Drosophila melanogaster: one gene and its partner. The protein of the gene in region 1 interacts with the protein of each later gene in a pairwise test. Each region holds a gene or a part of one and is shown on either strand. Other genes may lie near its edges. The genes, in order: narya and vilya.

Region 1 (17,116 bases):
TGAGAGCTCCTGCTTGGTCTGGTTTCAATAAATGATGGCGTCGTTGCGCTTACTTATTTAATCCTTAGTTCAAACTGCAATGGTTTCTATATAGGTCGTTAGTAGATATACTAAATGTAGGCGGCTCAATTGCGATGCTAAACCAGCGCAAGCTGCTCAGAAATATACTAGAATGGGCACAAGGACACACAACGCATCCAGTGGAGTCAGTCCTGCCGCTCCTACTCTGCTCAATACAATGCGGTTTAGAATTAGAAGACTTGTCGTTGTGTACGAATTAAGGTTTTGATTTGCGTATAATTAATTACGACTTCATATGTACATACAATGCATTCGTTAAAAATAATAAAAAATAAGGTGTTGTTAAGAAAGCCAGCGGGTGTTGTCAACAAAGGTTCGTTCCGTTTGATTCAGTTTTCGAAATCCCACAACAGTGGATACAACAACTTGGTTAACTACATGGTTCGCGGTGACGAACGTTCGACGTGCGAATCCCACATATCACCTCCGCACCATTTCGTACCGGATTCCTATTCCTATTCCTCATCGACTCGTCCTCGTCCGAAACCATTTTGTAGGATGCTGTGTGACGGATGACGACGGGATGTGTTCTCAGGTGGCAGACTGGTAGGTGCCACGCACAAGGGCACAGCGCCAAGCCAACTGCCGCCTCAGATCTGATCCGTACCGGTCCAATCCGATCCGATCCGATCAGATAAACTCGGCCATGCCTAGAGCGGCTTGGCGTCCTCCTCATCAGAGCACTTGGTTTGTTGTTGTTAATAGTGAATTTTATTGTGGTTGCCGTTGTTTATAGAGCTAAGCTTATTCCTGTTCATATTGTTGGTTGTTAGTTAGGTTCTTCGCTTCACTTTTCGTTATTGTTGCTTTTGTTGTGTTTGTTGGTGTGGTGGCCGCAGATCTGTTGTTGCTGTTACTAACTTCTCGGGCCCGGGTATTAGTTAGTAGTCTTGTTTGGTCCTAAGACGCTGCCGCTGCCGTGGCCAAAACAGACACCGGTTCACTAGAATCAACGTGAATCAGCTGCTGCTGCTCTTCCTCGGCGCGCAGCTTGGCGGCCTCCTTCTCCTGCAGTTGAGCCTCCAGCTCCTCGACATTGCGAAAGATGCGGGCGTACTGGAAGCGTTGGTGGCACGCCTGCTGGTAGGAAGCGGCCTCTGCCTCGCACTCGCCAAACACATCGCCGTCCCGCAACGCTGTGTAGATTTTGGTGGCCTCCTGCGGAACACAATTCAAAGAGCAAGGATCAACAGGGGGCCAGTCAGTGGGTGGAGAAATGGGTTTGGCAGTCACTTACCTCCAGCCGGAGCTTGGCCAGGTTGAAGCTAGTGACCAGCTTGATGGCGGCAGCTTTTTTACTATTGTCCAGTTCGTACAGACTGCGTGCGCCCTCGTATAAATGCAGTATGGAAGCGTTGTGTTTGGCAATAAACTCATCGTTGAGCTGCTGGGGCGTCTTGCTGCCTATCAGTTCTTTGGTGGCCTTCTCCAGCACCTGCTGCACGTGCTCATTGAACGGCTGCTCCTTGGCGGCGCTGGTCAACGATTTAACGAAGCGAATAATGCAGCTGTGGATTACGGGGTGCGAGGCGTCGACGGCGCGAGCGCGCCGGATGCACTGCAGCATAAGGAGCAGTTTGTTCTTGCGGTAGTACAACTCGAAGGCCAGCAGATGCGTCTCGATGCGCTCCTTAGCCAGCTGCTGCAGCGGTTTCAAGAATTCAATGGCCTTGTCCAGCGGATCGTCCGTGCGCTCCAGCTTCTCGGCCACCAGCTCGTCCAACTGCGGAGCATCGGGGTCGGTCTCCTGGTTTGCCTGCTGTTTCGATTTCTGGTGCTGCTCGCGCTTCACCTGCGCCTGTGCGGCCTGCGCACTCTCCAGCTCAGCTTTCTTCTTGGCCTTGCGCTGTTTGCTGCGCAGCTTCTTCAGTTCTGATGGCGGCAGGTTCTCTGTAACGAAGAAAGGCGGTCATACAGCTAACTAGAACGAGCAAGGGAGCTAGTGGGGTAATGTCCACATACCAATGTCAATCTCTTCAATGGTTGTCTCCGACTTAAGCGGCTTGTCGTACAGACGAATGTACACCTCGATGGCGCACTTGGCCGCCTTGAAATAGAATGGATGCTGGCGTAGCACGTCCTCCAATCGCAACAGGCCAACGTAGGCGCGCAGCGTCATTTTACGCATGCAATAGGTGTGGAAATCGAACTGGTCCTCGACGATTTCGGCAAAGTGGCGCTCCACCTCGTGGCACTTCTTCAACGACTCGCCCCAGCGACCCATGCGCTGATAGGCCAGGGCACACTCCGTCTGGAACCACATGCACTGCATCTCGTTCAAGTTGTCCATGGCGGAGACACCCTCGCGAGTGAACTTGGCGCAGATCTCCTCTGCCTCCTGCACCATGTTGGCGCGCAGCATGTACTTCGCGCACTTCGAATTGATGTAGCTGAGGGGAAAACATTGATGGTTACATGGTTCAGCAGGTCTATGCTAGTCCATGGGGCTCACTCACCGATCTGCCGTGTCCATGCTTTGGGCCTCCTCCAGCCAGACGTACGCCTCCACGGGATCGCCAGCATGCTTAAAGATGCGACCCTTGGTGATAAGCAGCTCAATGAGTGTTGGCGTATGGTCGATAGCCACATTGATGTACTCCAGAGCGCGGTCCGTATCGCGCATGTAGTCGTAGTGCTGCGCCAGAAACAGTGCCGTCCACACCAGCGCCGAGGCCGGCTCGACGGGAATTCCGGCGTCGGCATCTTCGCGAGAAAAGTGGCCGGAACGGGTAAGGTTCTCGAAATACTGCAGCGCCAGCTCCTCGATAACGGCCGCCCTCTCCGGTATCTGGTGCAGAGTGCGCACGTTGACAAATAGCGGCGGAATGCCCTTACGCAGACCGCGGCGCAGGTACTCGTCGGTCACGACGCGAAACTCGTCGCCGTTGGCGATGTTCAAAGGCAGGCGGCGAGGGCACAGGGCGCGCGGATACTGCTCCTGGAACACGCGATAGATCGACACCACGGCGCTTGAGTCGGTCACCTGGCGGGCGGCAATGTACTGCTCGTAGTAGAGCACATTCTCCGGATTGCGGCGGATCAGAGACTCAAAGATGGGCACTGCCTTCTCCTGCTGCTGCAGCTTGATGTACAGATCACCCATGGTCTCGCGAACGGCCAGCTTGTCGACGATCTGGCCCTGGTATTTGGTCAGGTGGTCCACGGCCTGCTGCAGACGATTCGACTCGATGAGTATCTGGTTCTGGTAGAGCAGCAGCTCCGAGTGCCGATAATCGTGCGCCTCCTGCCCACGGAGCAGAGACATGGAACAAGAAATACGAGCATTTTATTGAATTGGAATATAAAATTGAATCGGCAGGCAGCTGGATACATACAATCGACGTTTGCGACTGGCTGAACGTCTCCAGGATGCTGTTGGCCATGTCGTAGTCACCCAGCAGATGGTAGCTCATGGCGAAACCGATCCAGGAGGCGTGCTGCGAGGGACGCAGCGTGAACAGGTGGTGGCGCGTCTCCTTGTAGCCCTCGAGGTCGCGCATTTGGATCTGGAGAAGCGACAGGTCCTTCAGGATCTGCAGGTTATCCTTCTCCCACTTGAGCGCGTTGCGGTAGCACTTGATGGCCTCATCGTACTTCTTGTCGCTGCGCTGGAGCAGTCCGTAGACGTGCCAGCAAACGTGGGAGCGCAGGTCGTTTCGCAGACCCAGACGCACATACTTGTAGGCCTCCTCGCGGCGCCCCAGTCCGTTCAGAGTAAGCCCCTTCATGGCCAGCGTCTCGCCGTGCTCCATGTACTTGGGGTTGGACAGGATCTGCTTGGCCAGTTTAAGGCCATTTTTGTACTGCTTCAGTTCGTAGCATTTCTGTTTGATAAGAAAGCACAGAGAAGAAAGGTTTTAGTCAAAGTTTCTCGCATCCCGCGCAGCGCGAATTTTGAGGTTATGAGACCAGCGGGCCGACCACAAACGTCGGCGGTTGAGCAGAGCTGTGCAATCGCCCGCTGAAGCCACACATCTCGAGCAGCGGAGGCATCGCCTCCGGATTGCTTCTGCCAAAAATAGGCACTCTCCACCTGACTTCGGCTAAAAAGCACATGGATGCCGAAGCCGGCCAAAGGCACGAACAAAGGGAGGGGGCGGCACAGTTGTGGTATTAAGGGAAGGGGAAGGTATGGGACAGTAGGGTCACCTAGACCGGCTTACAAGTAGCTTGCGGAAGAGCGCGCCCTCCTTGGGCGGCAGGGGATCGCTAGAAGGCATCTCTGCAAGGCTGCGGCTGCTCCTCTCTTCGGCCTGCTGCTTCTTCTGCTTGGTCGTTCTTGTTCTTCCTCAGCTGCTGACTGGGACTGGGTTTTCGCCTGGCCGTGAATTGCACCGGACTGCGGGATCTGTGGATCAGCGAGCTGAGCTGAGTTGCGATGCCTCTTCTGCTGCTGCTCGGAAGCGGAGCTGGACTCGATTGGCAGTCTATACGGAGTAGACACACCACACACACAAGGCGAAAACGGCGAACGGCAAACTGCGGGCACGAGCAAATTTCTAAATCGACGTGAGACGACCACACACACCCACACTGGCAAGCTCGACTGTGCACATGCACGCACTGGCGCACGCACACTGGCACACGTGTTCACGCGCTTCGCGGCGAATGGTAACAGCAATTGTACGCCACTGCGAATGGGTGTGAACGCGCTCGTTTTGAATCGCGCTGCTAGGCGGTTATGTAAAGCGAGTGAATTGTTAATTAAAACTTATTCCGAGAGGTCGAAAGTCAGCCGGCTTTCCATGTTTTAACCTTATAGATTCCACACCGCATGCTTCGCCATCGTATTTTTCATTTAAATTACCCAGTTCTCGTATACGAAAATAATAGGCAATAAATTTGCAATTCACTGTATGGGCTCATCAGCTGTTGCCTATCGATAGTCCCGCGCGTTAATAACCGACACTATAGCGAACAAAGTAAAGAGGCAAAAAGAAGAAGAGCACCACCGAAAGCAACAACATGAATTCTCTGGCCAGGATCGGGGGTTTTGTGTGCCAGTCCGTGCAAATAGCCGGCTGCGGGGTAAGTTAACATCGTACTCCTAGCTAAGCGAACATAATATCCAGCCCATTGTCTTAACAGCTGCAGCAGGTGCGCACAAAGTATGCCGATTGGAAGATGATTCGCGACGTAAAGCGGCGCAAGTGCGTCAAGGAGAACGCCGTGGAGCGGCTGCGAGTCAACTCGCTGCGCAAGAACGACATCCTGCCGCCGGAGCTACGCGAGGTAGCCGACGCCGAGATCGCTGCTTTTCCTCGGGACTCATCGCTCGTCCGGGTGAGGGAACGCTGCGCGCTTACGTCACGTCCGCGCGGAGTTGTCCACAAGTACAGGCTCAGTCGAATCGTGTGGCGCCACCTCGCCGACTACAATAAGCTGTCCGGCGTCCAGCGCGCCATGTGGTAGCATCTTCTGTTAGCAATCTAGGGAAATAAACCTTGTTAGTAGTCATCCACATTCCAGAATTGTGTTATCGGCTTGGGTTCTTGCACAGCTGACCGTTTATCGGTAGCAGTGTTATCGTTTGCTGTGGGAAGAAGTAAATACAAATTTTAGGAACTATTTTGCTTCGGTGAAAATGTCTCGGATAAAGAAGAAGGCAGATGAACATGCCTCCAGCCGCCGCAGGACTCAGATCAATCTGATCGAGTTCAGTTTCTTGGATCACAAGGCGGAGCTCGTGGGCCTGCTGCAGGCCAAGAGCCGCCAGGTAGGCAGGAGTCTGGTGGAGAACGAGGCTGACTTCTGGAAGTTCGTGGGCAAGTACGAGGCTATGATGCGCTCCACGGGCCAGCCCGTGCTGCCGCCTCGACTCGCGGAGGCGGAGCTGAGCAGCATGCAGCCGTATCACCGCAGCAAGCACTTGGCATTGCGGCTGGACGCTGACGAACTGCTTCAGGAGGCGCGCGACCAAATGCAGTCCCAGTTTCGTCATATCTTGCTGGTGTACTTAGACTTCCGCCAGACGGAAAAGTTCCAGCGTATCCGAAAGCTGCGGCAGACACAACGCAATCTACCCATTGCTCGCTTCCGGAAGGACTTGCGCGAGGCACTGGACACGTCCCGCGTGGTCATCGTGGCCGGTGACACTGGCTGCGGCAAGTCCACACAGGTGCCCCAGTATCTCTATGACTTTGGCTACCGCAGCATTGGTGAGTATGCGGCTTCCCATTGAGGCTGCCTTACCAATGATCGACCTTTTGTTGCCCTAGCTTGCACCCAGCCGCGCCGTTTGGCCTGCGTCTCCCTGTGCAAGCGCGTTGCGCACGAGCTGCTGGACGACTACGGCAGTCGGGTGGCATTCCAGATCCGATTCGAGCGCAGTCGGACGAAGCTCACCAACATCCTTTTCATTACGGAGGGCTTGTTGCTGCGGCAACTAGCGGTGGCCGCCAACCTAGACCAGTACGATGCCCTGATTTTGGACGAAATCCACGAGCGCAACTTATTCGGTGACTTTCTACTGGGTGTTACCAAGTGCTTACTGAGGGCGCGGCCGCAACTGAAGCTGATACTCATGTCTGCCACCATCAACGTGGAGCTCTTCCACGGCTACTTCGGCGAGGAGGGCGCACGGCTGGTCCAGGTGCCGGGACGTTTATTTCCCATCAAACTGCGCTATCTGCCGCCTCCTGCACTGGAACTAAAGGCGGGACAGGCGACATCCAAACGCTCTCAGAGAAACCGCATCGATCCAGCTCCATTTGTCCAGGTGCTTAGCCTTATTGACCAGCAGTATCCGAGTGAGTTTAGTTATCATGTTCTTGTAGGGATCGCCTAATAATCATCTTACCTAGCCAGCGAGCGCGGTGACGTCCTTATCTTCGTTAGCGGCGTAAACGAAATCGAATCTGTTGTGGAGGCCGTTCACGAGTATGCCACCGAACAGACTCATTGGCTCGTCCTGCCGCTGCACAGTGGCCAGGCGATCGCGGACCAGAGCAAGGTGTTTGACTACGCACCCGAGGGCATGCGCAAGTGCATTGTGTCCACCAACATAGCCGAAACGTCGCTCACCGTGGACGGCGTGCGGTTCGTGGTCGACTCTGGCAAGGTCAAGGAGATGAACTTCGACGCAACCTGCAAGGGCCAGCGTCTGAAAGAGTTCTGGGTGTCCAAGTCGTCTGCGGATCAGCGCAAGGGTCGTGCTGGTCGCACGGGACCAGGTGTAAGCTAGAACCTAACCCACGGTTGCTCCATTTCTCATACATTCCCACTTTCCGAGCGCAGGTCTGTTTTCGGCTCTACACTGCGGAGCAATACAACGCCTTCGAGGCATATCCCACTCCGGAAATTTACCGCGTGCCGCTCGACACGATGCTGCTGCAGATGGTGTCCATGGGATTGCCCGACGTCCGGGCCTTTCCATTCATAGAGGCCCCGGAAACGGAGCGCATCGAGCAGACTATTCTGGCGCTAAAGCAACACGTGAGCATTTCACCGATACCCAACTGTGTAGACCCCAATTCAACCGGACTTCTAATCTCTAATTGCAGTGCGCCCTCAGCGTGGAGGAAAAGATCACACCGCTGGGCAGATCGCTGGCCAACTTGCCCGTAGAGCTGTCCATCGGCAAGATGCTGCTTATGGGCAGCGTGTTTCCCGAGGTGGAGCAGCTGCTGACCCTGGCCGCCATGCTGAGCGTGCAGAACCCGCTGACGAATCGTGCCCACACAGACCAGCGCTGCGTGCGCGAGCGGGAGTCTCTGGAGTCCGATCATGGCGACCTCTTCACCCTGGTGCGACTCTACAACGTGTGGGTGCAGCTGAAGATGCGGCGCGATGGCACTCGACAGTGGTGCCGTCGCTTGGGCATCGAGGAGCAGCGCTTCTATGAGGTGACCAAGCTGCGTCAACAGTTCCAGCGCATCCTCGAGAGCTGCGGCATGGTGGTGGCCAGCGATTCGGACTCCCAGTTGACCAGTGCCGAGCGCGCAACGCGACATGGTGAGCTGCGCCAGCTGAAAGCCATGAAGCGCCGCCAGCGATTTGAGCAACCCCGTCAGCGCAAGTTGCTCAAGCAGAGCGCTGGACGGGTAGCGGAGGACGAGGAGGAGCAGGAGGAGGCGCAGGGCGACGATATGAGGGACGTGGACTTCCGGCTGCGGTTCGATCCTCGACAGTTGGCGCTGCTGGAGCGTTCGTCGCGGCTCGACCGACACAGCGTCGTTGTGCTGCTAAAGCTGCTGCTCGGCAGCGGTTTCTATCCACAGCTGGCCATCAGCGACGAGTTCAACTACTGCAAGGGTGGTGGTCAGCAGTTCTTCCACACGCGGCTCAAGCCCTTCGTGCTGCAGCACCCAAACTCGCAATTCGCCAAGCACTTCGAGCTGCTTAAGCTGACCGAAAGCGATCTGCTGCCCAAGCCAGACTTCTACACGCCCAAGCTTCCGCTCAGCAAGCGCCACCAGTTGCTCTGTTACCAGTGAGTGCGTGCGTCTGTACGAAATTGCAGCGCCATACTAATCCCCAAAAAACTACGTACTACAACAGGTCGCTGCTGGAGACCGCCAAGCCCTATCTGATTAACTGCATCCGCCTGCCGGCTGCCCAGACGCTATTGCTCTTCAGCTTCGCCATTGACACGAACGCGGGCATCACACAGATCGCCTGCGACGGCTGGCTGGGACTGGATCTGCCCATGCCCGGCAGCGGTATGGAGCTTTTAAGACGGGCCATCGAGTTGCGCCGACGTTGGAGCAGACTGCTTTACGACAAGCTGGATGGTGAGTGCTCCCCAGATTGGTTGGAATTATTAAAACTACTAGGGGGATTTTTGAGTTTTGTAAGCTAAAGTAGATTGTTATATTTCCGTTTATGGTTATCATATCCCGCACATGAGTAGTGGAACGTCTCGATTTGAATAGTAATAGTAATAGAATACGGATGATAATTAGTACCTTAAGCGCAACTTAATAATCTATCTGGTTCTTTATATTGGGAATCTTCTGGAAGGTCAAAACCTAATTGAATCGTTAGAAGTGGTTATAGTCTTAGAATTCCTATAAAAAATTATACAAGTAATTGGAGTGACTAAAGACGAAAGCCTTTAGTGTCGCTGCCAAAAGATCTTCTCCGCGTTGACTGGGTATCCAAGTCCGCGGACCGGCGGGAGCTATCAGAAGGCATATCCGACGGCGATTTGTCCGAAGTGCTGATAGAGGTGTTCCAGGCCTCCTTGAACTCCGGCGTATGGAATCTCTCACCTGCACTGTGCCGGCGCCTCGTCATCCTCTGCGCATTCTCGTGGTAAGCGATGTAGGTGCGCAATTCAGCGATTCGCTTCTTTTCCTCCACGACCTTCTGGTTCAGCTGCGCCTCCATCTTGCAAAAGCCCTCCAGCTGGCGCTTGTTTTGCTCCAGCTGCTGCAACTGACGGTAGAAACCCAGGTTGTCCGATGCTCGCTGGTCCGCTTGGAACTTGGAGATCTTGCGGTAGATCTGCTGGAATCGCAGGGGATCCGCGAAGTAGTTGGCCACGCTAGTTGGCATATCCCGGTTGATCTGGATCGCTTTGAGCACCTGGCCGCATAGCGGGCAGTTCTTTTCTAGCGAGGATTGGCCCAAACAGGGGCCGCAGATCACGTGCCGGCACTGGGTCAAGTGGAAGGGCACGGCTGGATCAGTTTTGCGATGACGGAAACACTTGTTGCAATGCACTCGAAACATAGTGACCAATATATGTTTTTTTCCTCGCCTTGCAAGTTTTCTTCTTAAACAATTGTGATTTAGATATCCGAATGGGGCTAACGGATCTTACCTCAGCGGTCTGGCCACTCTGCCGGGTGAGAACACTCTCGCCTTGCAATCTGTTCACCACACCTTTCCTGCAAGTGGTGTATTCAGGTTCAAAGATTTTTCACCATAATATTTTAAAGCAGTTATTATTGTAACAATCAAATGATGGGAACGACATATGCTTAAAAACGTTTTTTTTTTTAGGTATTTACATATACAATTGTCGATATTTGAACTGTTCAGTTATAGAAAATGCTTGTTGTTCTTGGCATTCTTAGTAAATGGAGCTTAGTTATCTAATACGTATGTACTTAATGCTGTCCAATTTGCAGACCTCAAAAGCAAACAGGAATCACCTTCCCATTCAAGTGACGATAGGAGCAGCGCGCTGTGGCAAGATCTTGTGGACTATATGGCGCTGGATGTGGCGTATGCGATACGCCGACTGCTTCCCGCCGACATCAAGAGGCTCTACACTCATCAGGCACCTTCCGCGCGACTCGCGGAGCTCAAGGAGAACCCCTTTGCCGTCGACTTTCCCATGACACCGAACGAGGAAAAGGGCGGCCTCAACGTATCGGAGCACGTGGTGTACAGCTGCTTGGCCGAACAGCAGTGGACGACGGCCATGGATGCGACTCTACGGGCAGAGCCATGGCAGTGTACGCGCTGCGATTTCGAGCTGGAGGAGTTCGATGTGCTGGAGCAGCTGGTGCACCGATCCAAATGCAAGCGTCGCAAGGCGCAGGAAAGCCGCACGGCGAAAACAACGAGCACAGAGTCCTCAACGGAGGTAGCCAGTAGCTCCAGTTCGCACTCCTCCGGCGGCTATTACTGCAACTCCTGCAAGAGGGAGTTGCGACTGACAACGATCGACATTCTGCGCCACAAAAAGCAGTGTCGAAATAACAAGTAATCGTCTGAATAAACGTATTTAATTATAAAAAAAAAAACATATTTAATTTAACATATTGAAAAATTGCTAAACAAATTAACTTTTGGCCTGTCCCCTTTGGAAATCAACAAAAATGTTATGAAAAACATTTGCTTTCTTTAATTGAGGGACCCTTCAGCCATGTTACAATGAAAAAAAAAAAACGCACTGAAAAATGTTGGGCGGAAATCTGTATTCGGATTTCCCACCAAAAATATTTCGTTTTTGGGCCAAAACAATGGAATTTTTAATTAAAATCAATTATGCCCCGTTCAATTGGCATTGAAGCCGCCGGGAAATTTCCATTTTAATCAAATTGTTGAAAGAATGAATTTATAGAATAAATTATCGGATACGAAATATGGGATTTGATAACTACGTATGCCTGTTAGTTAGCCAGCTACACAATAGGTCGTCGTTGCTCAAGCTGCGCTGCTTATTTTAACTGAATATTGCAATATGTAAAATTGTCAAGTGTCCAGCTTTCAATTTGCCACTGACAACAGAGCTGGGTGAATTCCTCACAAGGATTTAGTTTTTATCTCGCACAATTTTGTAGCTTACAAAATAGTTTTTAGCTTAGGATGATGACAAAAAGGGATTTAGAGATTTGTATTGGATCTGCACCTTAATGCGGCGCTCCTTTCGACCGTGCTGTGTTGTCCTAATCTCGGGACACAGAAGCTACGCTTGTTTATGAAAAGGTCTTTGCCTGTCAAGCTGTCCAATTTTCAGATATAGTTGTGCGCTTCCTCGGCAGGGCAGCAGCTCCTTCTGCCTCGCCCGACTGTCTACTTCTTTGCAACTACATTGTTGCTACTGTCGAGTTTTGTGCTCAGCTTGCTTGTCCGCTTTTTCGCAAGAAAAAAAGTAGGATGGACGGCGTGTGTCCCGACTGCGGGATACCCATTGCTAACATGTTACAAATTGTATTGTGTACGTATGTAAATGGGCCAAGCACTAAGCACAAACAATCCAATGCGAAAATCTACTAAAATGTGTTGCGTTTTTTTTTGTTTCTTTTTCAATAAATATCTAGTTATGTTTTATGGGATACCCTCGGCTGATTCGTTACATAATGCATTGCCTACTTAAGTGGGACAACGCAAGCAATCAAATGCTTTGAAATGCGTTGTGATTTTCAAATAAATATCCATTAAATGCCTCGGAAAACAGTAGACAATGCTCTAGTTGGCGTGGTGTCCCAGAAGTCCTCGTTCACTTGGCGAAGGATACTTGCTTGTTCCGGAGACCTAGATTTTCCGTGTAACATGGCTACAGCGACATTCCCGTTAATGCTGGTCAATTATATACATTCGTGCTGCACATTTCAGCTGAAAAACAGCATGCTCTTTGCCGATACAAGTAAATGGAAGAATAAAAAACTTTTCGGCAACATTTTGTGATGTCTTACAAAAAAGTGTTGCATGCTTTCGGGCGTGTGCAGCATGCTGTCCTTTTACACACAAACTCGCACTAAGATCCGGATCTTACAGGCGAAGACCTTAAGAAGAATTTCGGGGGCTCCTTGGTATATGAGAACAAGAGACATCGAACGCGACCTCAAGGTGCCCAAATTAGGAGACAAGCTCCAGAACATCGCCCAAAAATATATGGAAAGGCTTAATGTACACCCCAACAGCCTAGCAAGGAAGCTAGGAACTGCAGCTGTGGTCAATGCTGACCCTCGGACTAGAGCCAAAAGAAGACTCAAGCGACACCACCCTCATGACCTCCCTAACCTGGTTTTGACCTAGAAAGTCTTAGTTTTAAAATTCATTAGAATAATCAAATAAATAATAATTACTATGTTATATCAACTATTATAATTCTCCCTAACATTTTTAGGATTAAAAATCTGTTAGTCTTAAGTAACCAAGACACATTGTAAAATAAAATAATTTAAGCAGATCAAATTAAGTTGCCGCATGGGTAACAGTGCGTTGATCAAATAATAAAAACATCATCGTAAAAAAAAACACACAAACTCGCACACACAGACACTGGCTTGTTTAAAAGTTGATTTCAATATAAGTTTTATGTTGCGTAATATTGAAAAAAAAAGGGCGACAGCACCCTGGCGGGCATTAACTTTTTAAATTTTCTATCATGAATCGAAGTGCTTCGATTAGGCGAACAGCTGTCGACATTTGTACACTGCAGAAAATAGTTGTTTGGTTGTTGTGGCTAAAAAGGAAGTCCCAGTTCGAGTAAATAACAAACACCTGGTTGGTTGGATTCCTTTTATTCATAGTTTATTTTAATATTTTATATGTTAGGCAAATTATGCAAAATTATAAAAAAAAACGTATATATAAGAACCCTTCTATCAATTACAGTTAGATTACAATTTATAATTATAATTGTTTTGATTTTGAGCTAATTTGAACAAATTGTTCGCAACGTTACAATATTTTTTTTTTTTTTTTGCTGTATTTATATTTGTTTCTGTTTCTGGTTTTTCAAAATGCCTGCATATAAGAGCTTTGAATTTCTGAGATATTTATTACAATCATGTTGCGTTTGTCCAAATTCGAAAGCAAACTCTACAAATAATTACTTTGTAAATACACACAAAAAAAAAAATAAAAAACGAGCACGATAAAAAATGTAAGGTAACTTATGATTTACGTAATACTTTTGCTTATTTAAAACCAAGTATGGGTCGGATGTTTACACTCGTAGTTTCGTTGATTCGCCTAGTAAATCCGCATCAAGTAACGATTTTCTAGGGGCAAGGTTGGGGCTGTACTTTACACGTCTCTATATATATATATATATATATGTATACCTATTGAAAGCACTGGCTCTTAACTCTCGGATCTTTTTCAGGCCTGCCCTTTTTTAATTTTTATTTAGAGTGTCGTTCTCTATTTCCACCTGCTCCTCCCTTCCCCACAAGCTCAAAAATAAATTAGTTTGGCAGAGCCTGAGAGTGCATTTTTATTAAATAAAAACGCATCTGCATGGAGATCGCCAGTGCGCTGCAGGAAACTAATTGTATATAGTGTAAAATTGTTATAAATAATGATAAGAAAATGCAGAGTGATTGGGGGAAATATCGTACAGCATGGCAAAGAATGGTCTGGACTGGACTCAACTAGTAGCTAGCTAGTAGCTGGCATTCAATGTTACCCATTGGACTCAACGACACTTTGTGGGTATATTCGTACTGATGTATTGCGAATGATTGCTGCTGATTTGGATGCTTAGTTTGGCTAATAAACGAGTCGGCTGAGGGTAATTTGAGGGAGTGTTTTTTTTGTTTTTTTGCCTATAAATCTTCGTTTCTTCTCAGCGGTAATGGGAGATTGGGTGTATATTTAGTCCTAGAATGTCATACGTGAGTCCATGTACATACAATTTATTTAATATATCTTTATAACTAGTACAATCGTAATTATAGCTGCGCGTCCTCCTCTAGACTATATGTATACATAGAAGTTTCAATTCATTGTTTTAATTGCGAAATGCAAACTCTTTATCCTACCGCTAAACGCACTTAACAAACTTACCCGCTATAAATATACTTTCATGTAGTTTAATTCCCGAATCGCGTGGTGGCTTTCGTAAACTAAAAAAAAAAAATTAAGGATGCAAGTGGTTGCTTACGCTAATATAAGTATATATCATTAATATATATATATATGCATATATATATATATATTTATATATATGTATCTATGTACTATATATGTATGTAGCCTAATGCGATTAACTGTATGCCTTTACATGTACAATTTTAAAAAATTTGGAAAAAAAGTGAGTGTTTTATTCCTCTTCATTGCGCTTGAATAAACTGTCGTTGATTTGAAAGTTCTTTATGTATACTTGTTCATAATAGGATACTTGTTCTTCTAGGGTTCATATAAGTTTAAAATTCTGTGTGTGTGTGTATGTATGCGTTGGTGTATATATATATATATATATGTCTCTCTATATACGAATAATGCATTTTGTACCGAACTAGCTATAGTCTACACAAAAAAAGGTGGTTTTAAAATTGGGTTTTACGTATATCCGCCTATACGAATTTGGGATTTGATGCTCCTAAAAGCGACTTTATCGCCCTATACGGATTTGTATGTCTGTCTATTTGTTTTTTTTTTTTTTTTCTTTTTTCATCCAACTCGCCGAAGATTACATATTTCCCGTCGCATTTTCCAGACCAGAAGAAGAACTGGTGTGTTGCATGTTCATCGATTTAATTACTAAAACCTACATCAGTCGTTTGGCACACAAGTCACGCAGTGGCGTGAACCACGGAACAGAATCCTTCCGCCGGCTATTTTTACAAGCCGCAACAGGGGATGTGTTGACGTTCATGTTGATGTTGATGTTGATGTTGTATTCTGTTGTCGACTGGGGGGCTGCATCCCACATCCCATACGCGCAATAAAGTTATCAGCATCAGCTTCAGCCCGCCATGGATTCCCCATTCCTCATCATCCAACTGGATCCGCATCTGCTGCTGCTCGCTGTCGGCAACGACATCACAATGCATCCCATCCCATCATATTCTATTCCATTCCATTCCATCGCATGCATTGCATCGCTACATTGCATCACATCGCCAGCTGCCGGCGATGGCGGAGATCGCCGTGGGTGCCAAACTAGACCTCGGTGCCATCCTCGCCCTCGTCGTCGAAGAGCTGGCTGGTGCTGCCCTGGCCGCTGCGCGTCGTCGTCACGGACATCTTCTTCTTGGGCTTCGGTGGTGGGCGTGGTGGGATCTTGGCGGCCTTCGGAGAGTCACCGCTGCTGCTGGCGTGGCTTGGCGATACGGCGGCACCCGAGCCGGGTGAAAGGTAGGCGGCGTGGCCCAGTCCGGCACCGCTAATGCTCGAGCCGGGCAGTATCGTGATCCCCTGTTGCCGAACTCCGTACAGGGGTTCCGTGTCCATGGAGCCCAGTCGCTGCTGCTGCTGCTGTTGTTGTTGTTGCAACTGCTGTTGCTGCTGAATCAGCTCGTGTATGGGCTCGTAAATCTTACTGGCATTGGTCGCCGAGGACACCGATGTCAGGCTGGGCGTGGCCGGAAGTGGTCGGTCCCGCATCGAGTACTGCTGACCAGCGCCCCCCTGTGAGCCGGCGATCTTGGTCAGATTGAGGGTGGAGTTGCCGCCGGCAGTGGTTCGCAATCCCAAGTTGTCGTACACTGGCTCCGCCTGCAGTTCCGCGGTGGTGGCGGTGCCAGTCTCGCTGGGATTCGGCGATGTGGGGCTCTGGAATTCACTTAGCTGAATGGATCCGTGGCCAGCGGCACCGGAAGTACTGGGCGCCCAGCTGGGAGCGCGCGGCTTGCGCGGAATGGTCATATATCCCTGTTTCATGACCACACCCGTGGCCGGCGAATAGACGACGGGTGCGGGCAGGAAGGGCGATGTGGTGGCCAGCGGATGTTGCTGCTGCTGCTGCTGTTGTTGTTGCTGCTGGTGGTGGTGGTGGTGCTGCTGCTGCTGCTGCAGCTGATGGTGGTGCTGGTGCTGGCGACTGCTGTTGGTGGTGGCAATGAGCGCCAGGTTGCGCGACTTGGGATGCTGCAGCGTCATAAAGCCGTTATGCGGAGCCGTCATCGTCTTGGTGCCGTAGATGCCGTGCGGCGTCATATGCGTGTAGACCGGACTGGTTAGCGACGGTGGCGAACGGATGCCGTAGATCACCTGGTCGGGTATGTTCGACTGCGACGATTGCATCGAGGGCGAGGTGGGCGGCACGCGAGCGGGAAAGGCCAGCAGATCCGGTGGCAAGCTATTGGCATACGCATCATCCACGTAGGTGTGTCGAGATCGGGGCGTGGTCGTCGTATCCGACATGGCCACTGAGACGGCTTCTTCGTCGCGCGAGTGATTGGCCACTGGAATGGAGAAGAAGATGTTGGAGCATATTACTAAATGTCTGCATGGCTGACTATTCCATTAACGAGAGTTAAGATCTGTATTAAGTCCTACTCGACTTCTATTGGTCACCAACTTAATCCCACTCCTCTATGGAGCTCCTGTTGAATAAGGCACATTTCACTATGCAATTACATTTCGATCGAATATACATAATCCCAGGAGCTGTGTTGCGTGAACAGAAAAGGCGGGATTAATTCTGTTTGATTTTTCTACTACGCTTTGACGTATTCGAGGGATTTTCAGTAGTTATGTGCCGCACCAAAGCCCTCTGTGGCTTTTAATCCGGCATCCGCGTCCGTTGCAAATAGTTTTGATAGCCATTTCTTTTGAAAAATAATGATTCTTGGGTAATCCCCTCGCCCGTGGAAGCGGAGCACATGAGCACACTTGGCACATGTCACTGCTCGTTTGGCCAATCCGGACGAGAAACTTTGGGCATAAGTGACACACGAGTGCT
Region 2 (12,059 bases), about 17 Mb from region 1:
TCAACATGCGCTGGAAGGCCAAGAGCCGTGTCACCCACGAGGAGTTCATCAGCGACAGCGTCTCCTCCATACGCAACCTGTCGTCGTTCAGCAACAGCTCCATTCGTCGCTCCATTGGCCAACTGGGCGTGAATCCGTCCGAAACGATGGAGAAGGGCAAGGTCATACGCTCGACGTCCACACCACTGCACGTGGAGTCCGTGTTCGCCAAGCCCAAGGAGCCGATTACCTTCAATGCTTCCACTGGCGGCCACGTGTCCAGCATCTACCACGAGGAGCCCAGTCCGACACCCGAAAGCAATCCCGTCCAGCAGCAGCAGCAGCAGCAGCAGCCGTTGCAGCAGCGCGCCTGGAAAATGGGCGCCCGCAACAAGATGAGCGCCGCAACGCCGCTGCGCCAGGTCATGTCCAAGAGCATTCAGAAGGCCTTCGTCGAGCACGGCGGCATGATGGTCCACCAGCCACCATCCGCAGTGGTGCAACGTCGCGTGCGCCTCGATCTCAGCGAGCACAGTTCGCACGAGGCAGCAGGCTCGTCCGCTCTGGACCTGCGACTCTCGCCAGCTATGCGGCGCACCCAGAGCGAGTCCAGCGCCTCGGAGGTCAACAGCGGCAGCAGCTCCAGCTACAGCACCTCGCGGAATGCCGATCTATGCAAGCGGCAGTTCTTGCTGTCCGCACAGAAACTCACCACCGAGTCGATCATCATCACGCGGACGAACTCCAGCTCACAGAAGACCTCTTCCACGGTGTACAACTCATGCGAGAGCGTCGAGATCATACGCTCCACCTCGGAATCAGCGGAAGTGTGCCACGTGCCGGCCATAACGCCCATCCGTGTCACCGGTGCCGGCATCAACAAGAAGCAGATCAAGTTCGAGACGCCGCCCAAGAGCAGCCAACAGATGCGATCGAATGGCGAGGGCGATGAAACCAAGGACCAGTTTTTCACGCCGGAACCGGGAACGCCGGAAATTCCAGAGCGTCGTCATCGCCAGGCGATTGTGCCGCGCCAGCTGAGCGGCGAGTTTTCGCCCAAGAAGGATAAGCCGAAGGAGAAGGGGCTGGCGGTGATGGCCCTGATCTCGCCGCCATTGCAGCAACCCAGGGTGCGTCCTCCGTTGCGGGAATGCCGTCAGCAGAGGGTCTATAGCGGCGTGCAGGATGTGGGCGAGCCGGAGGTCGTGGACGCAGAAGAGGAGGACGAGGTGTTCCGCCCCACAAACGCCTCCACGTGCAACGACAAAAAGCTGGAGGCGCCCAACTCCGGTCGCCTGTGGTCGCTGATGAGTTCCATGATGCGACTGCCGGCCAGCTTGCGCGGCGAACGCGAAAAGGACAGGGACAGGGACAGGGATTCGGATAAGGAGAACGCTGGTTCGGGCTCACTCATCCGTCGCTGCGCCTCCATCGCTGGATCCCTGGTGCGCCCCAGTGCAAGGGACTCCTCCATGGAGGACCAGCAGTGCCTCAAGAGAAAGCGCACTCAGACGCTGGACAGCCAGTACTGTAGCCCGCTGTCGCCGTCCAGCTCCTCGAAGCGCTACCGCATCCGGCCCAGGGAGCCCATCGAGCGCATGCGTCGCCAGTAGGTTTTAAGCTTTTGCCTGCGAATCTGTGTTTTAATTGTGAAATTCTTCTTTTTTTTTATCGTTTAATAAATGTTTGGTCTTGCATTAACCGTTATGCGCAGCAGGAGTTGGCAGGTCCAGGAGCTTAGCTCGTCTCATTCAGAGCTGCCAACTCTATCTATTGATTCTGTTATTAATTAGTTGCGCACAAGATCGAAAAGCTTAACGGAGCGCCCATGGCGAAATCACAAGCAGGTCAGACTGTCGAGCCGGAGGCGTCCAAGCTGTGGATCCACTGCAACAGCTGCTGCGCCCTGTTCTGCGATAAGAAGCACACCTTCTTCCTGCTCGCCTGCCATCACGTGTTCTGCGAGCGGTGCGTCAAGGTCTCCGCCGGCCGCACGCCCAGCGACGCGCCCATATTCGAATGCTCCACCTGTCGGCGGAGCGTGCGCGGCCGCCAGTTGACCAACTCGATGCCCAACCACTTCAAGCAGCTCTTCCATCCGGAGCCCTTCACCATCGGCAACGACTTTGTGGAGACGTTCCAGCGCGGCAATCATCGGCACTTCGACAAGTACAAGGAGAGGAAGGAACTGGAGATGGATAAGCTGTTCAAGGACATCGAGGTGGCCAAGTCCGTGTGCCAGAAACGCTTCCTGGAGGCGCAGATGCTGCGCGTGGAGCGCAAGAAGCTGATGCAGAGGTCGCGCTACATTAAGGCGGAAGTCGCCAATCGGAAGGCGGAAATGCATCGGTGCGACATTTGGATTCCATTGAAAATAGTTCCCATTAATGCATTATATTTCTACCCGCCTTAGGATGGCCCAGGCCTACCGAAGCCGCTCGCTGACTTCGCAATCCTCGTCATCCGCCCAACGCTCGGCGCGCGGACGTCCTCGTGGCCGTGGAACAGCCACACAGTCCTCCAGTCGACGCCGATCAACGGAATCAGCAAAGCGGCAGCAAATCACCAGCTTCATACACCCGCCGAACAACTCGTTCGATCTGTGAGCTAGTGCTGATAGGTAAAGCTCTGTTTTACAACCGAGTATATATTTTTTGTAAATAATCAGCTTAAAACAATAAAATGGTGTCATAAGCTTTAAAATAATAAACTGCTAAGTTAACAGCGACCGTTAAGTTTCAATTAACAGTTTCGTTAGGATAACAGAAGTGTTGAAAGTGAATTCGATTAATCGAAATCCATCGATGACTGCTGCACCGATAATATCGCATAAGCATCTGCTCTAAAAACGCATAAAAATTGAATTGCAAGAAGTAGAAGAGCGAAACGTCATAAAAGCGGCAAATCCGGCGCTGTCCGACAAGAACCACAGGGGAAAGCGGATAAGGACATCATGATGAATAGCAAGATCGCCGAGGTAGTGGTGCTCAACTGCCGGACGTGCACGCGTGCCTGCAAGCTGCACAAGCCGCTGCAGGAGGAGATCGATCTGGGTTCGGAGGGCAGCACCACGCTGGCCAGCATGCTAAACTACTGCACGGGACTCTCGTTCGAGCCGCAAGACGGCGCCGCCATGCCGCAGCACATCTGCCTCCACTGCCTGCAGCTGCTGGAACAGGCGTTCAACTTCAAGCGCATGGTCATCGATTCGGACGAGCTGCTCCGCCTGGGCCTGGACGAGGCGCGCTGCTCCAGCTTTCACGAGAGTCAGACTCATAGCCCCAACCAGAGCCAGCAGCACGACCAGCAACAGCAGGCGTTCGACTCCACCGAGGAGTACGTCATGATCGAGATGCTCAACGAGGAGCAGGAGAACGTCGCCAATGTAAGTATCTATCACTTCACGGTGCAATGGAATGCAATGGTTCTTGTCCACTCCCATAGAGGATTAACGATTGCTCACAGCGGGCACCAGTCACTCAAATCGATTCACTTATATTGTGGCTCTTTGGGATGTAGTAGGGTAGGTCGGTGCCAAAGGAGTGCAACCTGTACCTCCATACAATGGATAACTTGTCTGCTCTTGGTGACACTACGTCTAAATAGGAGATGGGCTTCATCAAGTCTAACTCCAAAGTAAAACCATAACACCTTCTTCATCCGCAGTTGGATGAAGAACTAGCAGAGGAGGATCGTCGCATCTTCGCGATGACCGTGGATGAGGAGGAGGAGTTTCTCACCGAGGAGGTGGATCAGGATGACGAGCTGTCGGAGGAGGAGCACCAGCTGGCACAGTCGGGCGACCAGCAGGAGGAACACATCACTATGGAGAGCGTGCATGAGTTTCAGCCCGCCGAAGTGGAGTATGTGACCATTAAGAATGAGTTCGAAACGATCGTCACGGAGGAGGATGAGTTCGAGGTGATGAACGACTCCGGCGCCCACGACGCCATACTGGACTGTCAGATGATTGTGATACCCGCCGAGGGAGCCATTGACGAGGTCATCGGCGAGGAGACCCTCGAATTGGAGGGGGATGGGCGCGAGGAGCATCTGGTGAGAAAGGTCAAATTATATTGCACTAGAATACCATTTATCCTCCATTCACCTACACACAGCTGCCGGAGGCGGAGGATGTCTGCGAAGATGAGGACTTCCTGGAGGAGTCGCTGGACTCAGCGCCGCCGACCGCTGGCGAGGCGCTGCCGTACGTGTGCACCGTGTGCCAGAAGGCGTTCCGCCAGCAGTGCCGTCTCAACCAGCACATGCGCTCCCACGTGGACGAGAAGCAATACGAGTGCGAGGAGTGTGGCAAGCGTCTGAAGCACCTACGCAACTACAAGGAACACATGCTGACACACACAAATGTCAAGCCGCACCAGTGCAGCATATGCGGCCGCTTCTATCGTACCACCTCCAGTCTGGCAGTGCACAAGAGAACTCATGCGGAGAAGAAACCCTACAACTGCGATCAGTGCGGCCGCGGATATGCGGCGTTCGATCATCTGCGGCGCCACAAGCTCACGCACACGGGCGAGCGACCATACGCCTGCGATCTGTGCGACAAGGCCTACTACGATTCGTCCTCGCTGCGCCAGCACAAGATAAGCCACACCGGCAAGAAGGCTTTCACCTGCGAGATCTGCGGCGTGGGACTGTCTCAGAAGTCGGGCTACAAGAAGCACATGATGGTCCACAGTGGCGTCAAGGCGCACAAGTGTGATGTTTGCGGGCATGCCTTCACCTTTACCAGCAACCTCAATGCCCATGTTCGCCTCCATTCCGGCGAAAAGCCGTTTAAGTGCGAGGTCTGCGTTAAGGCCTTTCCCACAAAGAAGCGACTGGCCAGTCATATGCGCGTCCACAACAAGGAGTCGCCGGTGACGGCCACCGTTGCTGTTCAGTCCATCAATCCTCCCAGCCGACAAGCGGGCGCAGAAGGTGCGACAGGCGGAGGTGCGACAGGTGGAAGTCCGACCGGTGGAGGTGCGACCGGTGGATCGGCAACCAACCTTCACATAACCGAAGTTCATGAGCAGCCGGTGTCCACCTCCAAAGTGGTGATGGTGCTGTGAGCGGCCACCAAGCCGTGGGAGCGGCTCTAGAATGTAAGCCTAGGCTAAGGATTAGACACTTAGTTCAATAAAACTGATTTTTGTTCCAGAAAAAACTGAAAGAAAATTCGACACTTATTTTTTACATACATAAAAATAATTTTGTTTTCACGATAACTATCTCAGCAGGTTTAGCCACTCTTATCCATCAATTGTGATTAGATAACGCACAGCAAGTTCTCCACTTTCGTAACGAAACACATGGATGTCTTGTTTTTGGTTTTACGGTTAAGTCGTCTCTTTATAATAATAATATTACGATTAAATTGCCAAAAAACAAAAACAAGCAAGTTTAGTTATTCAATAAAACAAAAACATGCGCCTCGTCTTTTCCCAAAGGAGCAAAAGACAGAGCGTGCCTCCCAATCCTGCTGTCTGCTGTCTGCTACTGCTTCCCACTAACTACTCCAAAAGTCGACGAAAAATATGGCCAGTGTGCTGCTGCAGGGCGTGTTTGTTGCTCCGGCGCAGGCGGAAGGTTAAGGTATGCGTATGGAACGGGTTGTGCGGTATGGCCAGCCTCCTAGCGGCCGAGAATGTTGCGCGACCACTGTTTGACCATTGGCTTGGTCTTGGACTGCTCGATGCGTTCCGCCTCCAGCATTTGTTCGGCCAGCTTGCGCTGGTTCTCCCGGAACTGGTTGATGGGATCGTCGAACTGGCGATAGTAGTGGAGCACCTCGCGCACGTCGTCCACGTTGTTCTGCGCAATTACTGTAGCGAATTGCAAGGGTCAGTGTTTAGCTTTCAATGTCACTTGTGGCGCAACTTACTCTTTAGGAAAGCGATAAGGTCCAGCAGTTGGCCATCATCGTCGTTGCCATGCCAGCGGGCCAAGCCGAATGTGTTGTCCGGATGCATCTTGGTGGCATTCGCATCCCAGTCCACAACAATCACCTAAAATACTCCCTTCTTTATAGATGATTGCAATAGAAAATACGTTGTGCATGACTTGCCTTCTTGAGGTCGCGATTAAGGTTGTCCAGGTTCTTCACATGATGGCCGTCCACAAAGTGCGTGGCATCCCTGACCAGGCGGTACATAATGTAGCCGTTGGGATCGAGGGCATCCAGGATGGGGAACACGGTCATGCCCTGTTCGGCGGTGAAGACGACAATTTCAAAGTCCTTGGCGCACTCGGCCAGAAAGTGGTCGACGCCGGGACGCTTCTTGAAGCGCCAGCCAGTTTGGTAAGTCCAGTCCGGATGCACCAGCACGTCCTTCATCTCCAGCACAAGCGTGTAGCGCGGCTGCACGTACGGCGGCTTGAGCGGATCGGGCAGCAGTTTGGCGCGCGACGGCTCCTGGATCATGCGCTGATAGTAGTGAATGCTCTTCCACATCCGCTGCAGATACTGCTGTACCAGCGGCTTGTGTGTGAACTCGTCCTCGATGGGCTGCCCGTTGGGGTCCACCTCGGGCTTGCCGAACTCGTAGACGGCCCAGAATCCAGCAGCCACGGCGCTGCCTCCGAATATTGCAAAGCTGCAGCAGGAAGTATTGTTATAATACTGTTACGCATTGAATGGGCGTCAGCTTACCCCAGCTTCATGCGCTTCCAGGCACGCTCGTTCTCCTTTTCCTCCTCCTCCTCGCGCTTCTTGCGCTCCTGCTCGGCGTTGCTGTCCACCTCCGGCGAGGTCTGAGGAAAGAGCTTGGCCAGCAGCGGGGCATTCGGTGCGACCTCGGGCGCATCATTGGGGCCAGTGGCTCCAGCTTCCTGCTCTGCGAAACGAAAGTGGCCAAGGATGAATGTTTAGGACTCTACTGTTTAGGACTCTACCGTGAATCACTTACTGGTTGTGCTGCTGTAGCCACGCGCTGTGTGCAGGATCGAGAAGAGCGCCGGAGCAGCCGCTGGCAGTGCTGTGCAAGTGAATAGTCGGAGGTACTGCTGCTGGTGGTGGAGGAGGTGGTGCTGGTGCTGGTAGTGTTGGTGGTAGTGGTGGTAGTGATTACCCAATGCGCGGTGCTGGTGGATGTGGGTAAGAAGACGCGGCGTGCTAAGGCCGCGCAGCAACTGGAGGACGGTGGCCGGTGCCATGCTCATGCTCATGCTTCCCCCTTCCTTCCCGATATCGAGTCCTAGAGCCGTTCACGAGTCCTGCTCGGATGGCAGCGACTTTTTACTTATAAAAAATTCCAACAAAAATTTCAACTTCCCACCGGCACGGCGTTGGCGTTAGGGATTTTATATACTGTCCACTGCCAGGCGGCACCAGGCGTTAGTACATTTAGCACGTGGCTCTCAGCAGGTATAGATCGGCGATTTTCAAGCCAAATCTGGCGGGATTTTGCAGATAACTGCGTGTGTACATATGTTGCCTCCGGCAATCTGACTAATCACAGTATTAAGAAAATTTTAAATTAAAATATTTTAAATAATATGGAAATACACAACCTTTGACCAACCACCAAGCCACTGTGCCTCTGGTCACTTCCAAGCTGATGTGCCTGGCTAGCTATTTTGAGTGCCACCACTAACGCATCAGCTGGACTTTGGCATCACTGTTCGGGACGCTAAATTAAGTTATTTATTTAAACGTGTATTATCTACTGTCGAGTTCAATCCATGACGACCATGTCGCCGCCGTCCCCCATGGACGCCTTGTGCCGCGTGTGCCACACAGCATCGCCGCGCTGCCTGCCGCTCTTCAAACCGCTCGACGATCCAATTTCCGGCAAACCAGCGACGCTGGCCAGCATTTTAAGCTACTGCAGCGGTCTGGAGATCCTAGAGGCGGAGCTCTTCCTGCCCCACCACATCTGCCCGGACTGCGTGGCCAAGTTGCGGCTCTCGCTGGAATTCAAGCGGAGTGTCCATCGCATGGACAGAATTCTGCGGCAGAGTCATGCGGACTTTTGCCGCAGCAAAAAGATCAGCGCGGTGAATACTAGGGCCAGGCTGTCAACCGAGATTCCGGAGGATTTTGTACTCGTGCTCGATGACCAGGAAGTGACTGAATATCCAGCAGAAACGATACGAGATGAGGAGCAACTCCTGGTCGTAGAATCAGATGAGGCGGAGAGCCGGCTGGAAGCGCCAATTGTACAGGAGGAGAGGCTGGATATTGCACTGGAACAGCACGAAGACGATCTCTGCGAGATTGTCGACGATCCGGATCCGGAGCAACGTAGGAGCAGGTTAGAAAGATCCGAGCCAGCGCTGCAATGTCCCGTGAGTTGCCTTTCCGAATTAGAAGTAAGTAATCACGAAATAGTTTCCCATCTTCGGCAGATTTGCGGCAAACAACTGGCTAGGAAGCGGACCTTTCAGTACCACATGAGGCTACATGGCCAGCCAAAAATTCGCCAAGAAGACAACGACCACTGCATTGAAGAGTGCCTCCAAGTGGAGCCCGTTTTGCAGGCCAAAGCTGGCGAAGATGTCTACGAGATTGTGGAGAAATCAGCACAGACTTCGGCGACGCAGAAAACTTTGCCCAGTGGAAGCCGGCCTTGGAAACCCCTCAATCCCTCCCTACAGTGTAAAGTAAGTTGGTCATCGCAGCTCGCAAATAACTCAAAGCCGAAGGTCATCAATTCTCCCTCCATTCCTTTAGATCTGTGGCAAGCAACTAAGCACCAACAACTCCTTCAAGTACCATATGCAGCTACATGGCACGGCCACGCCCTACGTTTGCACAATCTGCGGAGAGTCCTTTAAGACGCGAAACGCCCGCGACGGCCATGTCACGCTGCACGATCGTAACAATCCGAACAGGTGCCCCACCTGCTTCAAGGTCTACCGGCAGGCGTCCTCGCTGCGCACACACCTTCTAATCCACAGCGGAATCAAGCCATTCGAGTGCAGCATCTGCGGCAAGAGGCTAACACAGAAGTCGGGCTACAAGAAGCACATGCTCACCCACACGGGCGAGAAGCCGCACGGCTGCGACATTTGCGGCCGTCGCTTCCGCTACTCGAGCAATCTGATTGCCCACAAGCGCTGCCACAGCCAGGAGAAGCCCCACCCGTGCCCGGTGTGCCAGAAGCGCAGCTTCGGCAGCACATCCGAGCTCAACCGCCACATGCTCGTCCACAGCAGCGAGCGACCGTTCGGCTGTGAGCAGTGCGGCAAGTCCTTCAAGCGCCGCATCTCACTCGCCATCCATCGCCAGTCGCACAAGGCGGGCAGACAGCGGAGGCGGGCCGAGCATGAAGTGGGTGTCCAACTGGAGGAGCAGGACGAGAATGTGGAGACCTGAAGCTAGATCGCTTATACTATCGGCTTAATGTACAAATCGGGACATTTAGTTTTAGTTCAATTCGCTTTTATTTTCGGTACTTTCCTTCGCACAATAACAAGTTTTAAGTGTGTTCCTATTGTTAGGATAAATTTGATTGGTTTTCCCACCCAAAATAATGCGTGTTTCATACATACATATATATTATATATGGTCAACAAACATTTCGAGTCTTCTGACGATCCTTTCGATTTGATTTAATGTAATGAGCTTTAGTTTATCAGGTGGAGGCGGGAGAATCTCTATACATATGGAAGTTTCGATTGGGTTTTGTAGTTGATAGTGGCTAAGGGTGAGGGTGCGGGTGCGGGTGTGGGGACCTTAAGCTAAGCTACTATGCTGCATTGAACTTACGCGCTAGAAACCAATTAGAGTAGTGCGGAACGAGTGTGCGAGCGGGTAACAAACAAAATGGGGCTGGGAATTAAAAGTGTGGATTGGGAGCTACGCGTTACGCTGCCGCGCGATACATAAAGTTAATGTATAAATAAATATATATGTTCAGACAATGTGAGTGCTTGCTAATACTTGGCATACATAAAATGAGTATAGATCACAAAAAGTCGCGTAAAAACATAAATGTTAGTGGGTATAACGTGGGTGGGTGGGATGAGTGAGTAATGAGTAATATCAGTGGGACATGAGGCTTGGAGGCACACGTGGCTTTCCTTTCCATCGTCCAGCTTGGACGACTCTCATCTCAAGATCCGGACTTGGGTACACAAACGAAGAGGACACGACCGGATTGCCGCAGTGGCCACTGCTAATCTTTCTCCTGCTGCTGCAGCAGGGCGGCGATTTCCTGGAACTTGTGCCGAAAGTCCACGCTGCTCTCGCTGATCACCGACATGCTTGACGACGGATCCTGTGGATTAGGTTAGAGGTCGGTCCACAATGAATGTCGCAAGTGGGGAGTGTGGCATGCGTTCTGGCTTACCAGTATATCCCTGGTGGCATCAATCTCATCCAAATGCCCCAGCAGCGACGTCAACGAGAAGTCATTGATATTGTCCTCCAGCCAGCGTGCGTTGGATGTTGAATCTCTGAGCAAGTGCATCGGACTCATGCTGCCTTGGAAGAAGCTTTGAGCTGCCGCGAAGAAGATAATATAAAATTTATACAAAAATGAAAAGCGAAAACATGCTGATGCTCCTACTTGTGCTCCCGTCTTGGGCCGCCTCGTTCAGGGAACTGCTGACGTCCGTCCTGTTGGTGGCCACGCAAATGTCCAGATTGGGCATGTCTCGAGCGCTGACCTGCGTGGCCTCGTCGTTGAGGAACTCCAATGCCCCCTGATCCCCTGGCTCTTGATCCTGTGAAGCGGTCGTGGCATTCATGCTGGAATCGGGTTTCGAGCCAGAGGTGCTGATGCCAGCGGAACTTATGCCATCCACGCGATCAATCGGCTCGAAAAGGCCACTGTGGAGTTGGCGCACACTCAGCAGATCGTACGGACGATCGCCAGCGGATGTGGGTGGTAGGAGACGGCGCTGCACAAGCACCTGACGACTGATCTTTTGCCGTGTGAGCTAGAATGCACGCAATGAATGCAAATCAATTGGGATTTGGGTAACGCCAATAAGGAAAGACCACTTACCGCTGAGAGTTGGCGCACAGGATCGATGTTGGATATCGGCCGCCGCACTGGCAGCATCGGCGTTCGGAAATTGCCCTCAACCATGCCGCCCACTCCGCCGGTGGCCGTCGCCTCTGCCAGCTGCTGCGCCTTGGTCATCAGGTCCCGCTTGCGATCGCACGTGTGGCCGCAGTTGCATTGGCGCTTGCGCACGCGCTCGCTGAGATTGGCCACGAGTAGCAGGTGCTTCAGCTTGTTGCTCACCGACGATGTGGTGACGGCCCTGACGCGTTCCACGCTATCACAGTCGTTGGGATTGTAGGGCAGCGAAGTGCTCGAGGTGCTCGAATTGCTCGATGCGCTGACGTAGCAGTTGGAAGATGCGCCTGTTTGGTTGGCGTTCGAGGCGGCGCTGCCGGTTTGGGTGGCCACCGACGAGGAGCTAGGCGTTACCGTGTTGATTGTTAGTATGCTGGATGCCATGGCCGTCGAACTGTCGACCTCACACCAATAATACTCCAGCTCCAGCTTGGAATCCTGGCCAAAAACGACATACAGATCACCGATGGTTATATCCGCCGCATTCGCCTGCGTCCAGCCCTTGCGGATTCTCTTCAGTATATCGTCGCTGAGCAGTGGCTTAAAATTTCGAGCCTGTGCCGCGGCCGCCGCCTCCTTAGCTTCTTTGCGTTTGGAGCGGGCTACGGATGGAGCCGCCAAAGAACCGGTTACAGGAGTCGAAGGAGCGGGAGCTGCAGCACAGGAAGTTTGTAGAACAGATGTCGCCATGGCATTAGATAGATCCGCGTTGGCCGGATAAGCCTGTTGTACAGGATCGTGCGATGTTTCAAGCGCAACAGCAACAGTTGTGGTATCACCAGTGGTGGCCGAAAGAGCTGGAATAGTGGCTGCTTGCGGATGCTGCATGGCCTCCAATATATCGCCCAGAAACTCATGAATCTCCTCGCCCAGCTCATCACCGCTGCTATTCTCCATCTTCATCAGATTGCCCTCCAAGGGCCCGTCGTCCAAACTCTTCTCCAGCGGCGGGCTGGCACTCGATTTGGGTTTCTTTGTCTCCGGCGAACGCTTCTCGGAGCCGCTTTCCGTTCGTAGTCGCTTGTTGGCCGCCACCGACATGCC

What was found.
Region 2: the proteins of narya (region 1) and vilya interact in a two-hybrid assay, tested with the Drosophila melanogaster proteins (2 studies listed by BioGRID).

Annotation. Positions count from the first base shown.
Region 1 is NC_004354.4:19,467,807-19,484,922, reverse strand, and holds narya (narya), read right to left. Parts: upstream 9,861-17,116; 5' UTR 9,757-9,860; coding exon 9,121-9,756; 3' UTR 8,868-9,120; downstream 1-8,867. Other genes in the region: Naa15-16 (N(alpha)-acetyltransferase 15/16), read right to left, coding at 982-1,239, 1,319-1,971, 2,044-2,471, 2,538-3,325, 3,417-3,905, 4,245-4,301; mRpS14 (mitochondrial ribosomal protein S14), read left to right, coding at 5,047-5,109, 5,170-5,493; CG32533 (uncharacterized protein), read left to right, coding at 5,666-6,239, 6,300-6,830, 6,885-7,255, 7,318-7,515, 7,584-8,512, 8,581-8,813, 10,158-10,741; kek5 (kekkon 5), read right to left, coding at 15,373-16,616. UniProt on the Drosophila melanogaster protein: Required for the formation of DNA double-strand breaks (DSBs) together with nenya and vilya during the meiotic recombination process. Plays a role in DSBs processing into crossovers.
Region 2 is NC_004354.4:2,724,900-2,736,958, forward strand, and holds vilya (vilya), read left to right. Parts: upstream 1-1,778; 5' UTR 1,779-1,807; coding exon 1,808-2,328; intron 2,329-2,392; coding exon 2,393-2,585; 3' UTR 2,586-2,669; downstream 2,670-12,059. Other genes in the region: fs(1)Ya (female sterile (1) young arrest), read left to right, coding at 1-1,592; dwg (deformed wings), read left to right, coding at 2,933-3,364, 3,646-4,035, 4,098-5,054; ttm50 (tiny tim 50), read right to left, coding at 5,617-5,807, 5,867-5,990, 6,050-6,578, 6,635-6,818, 6,891-7,149; CG2712 (uncharacterized protein), read left to right, coding at 7,666-8,271, 8,332-8,586, 8,657-9,301; crm (cramped), read right to left, coding at 10,104-10,205, 10,278-10,429, 10,497-10,869, 10,938-12,059. UniProt on the Drosophila melanogaster protein: Required for the formation of DNA double-strand breaks during meiosis together with narya and nenya.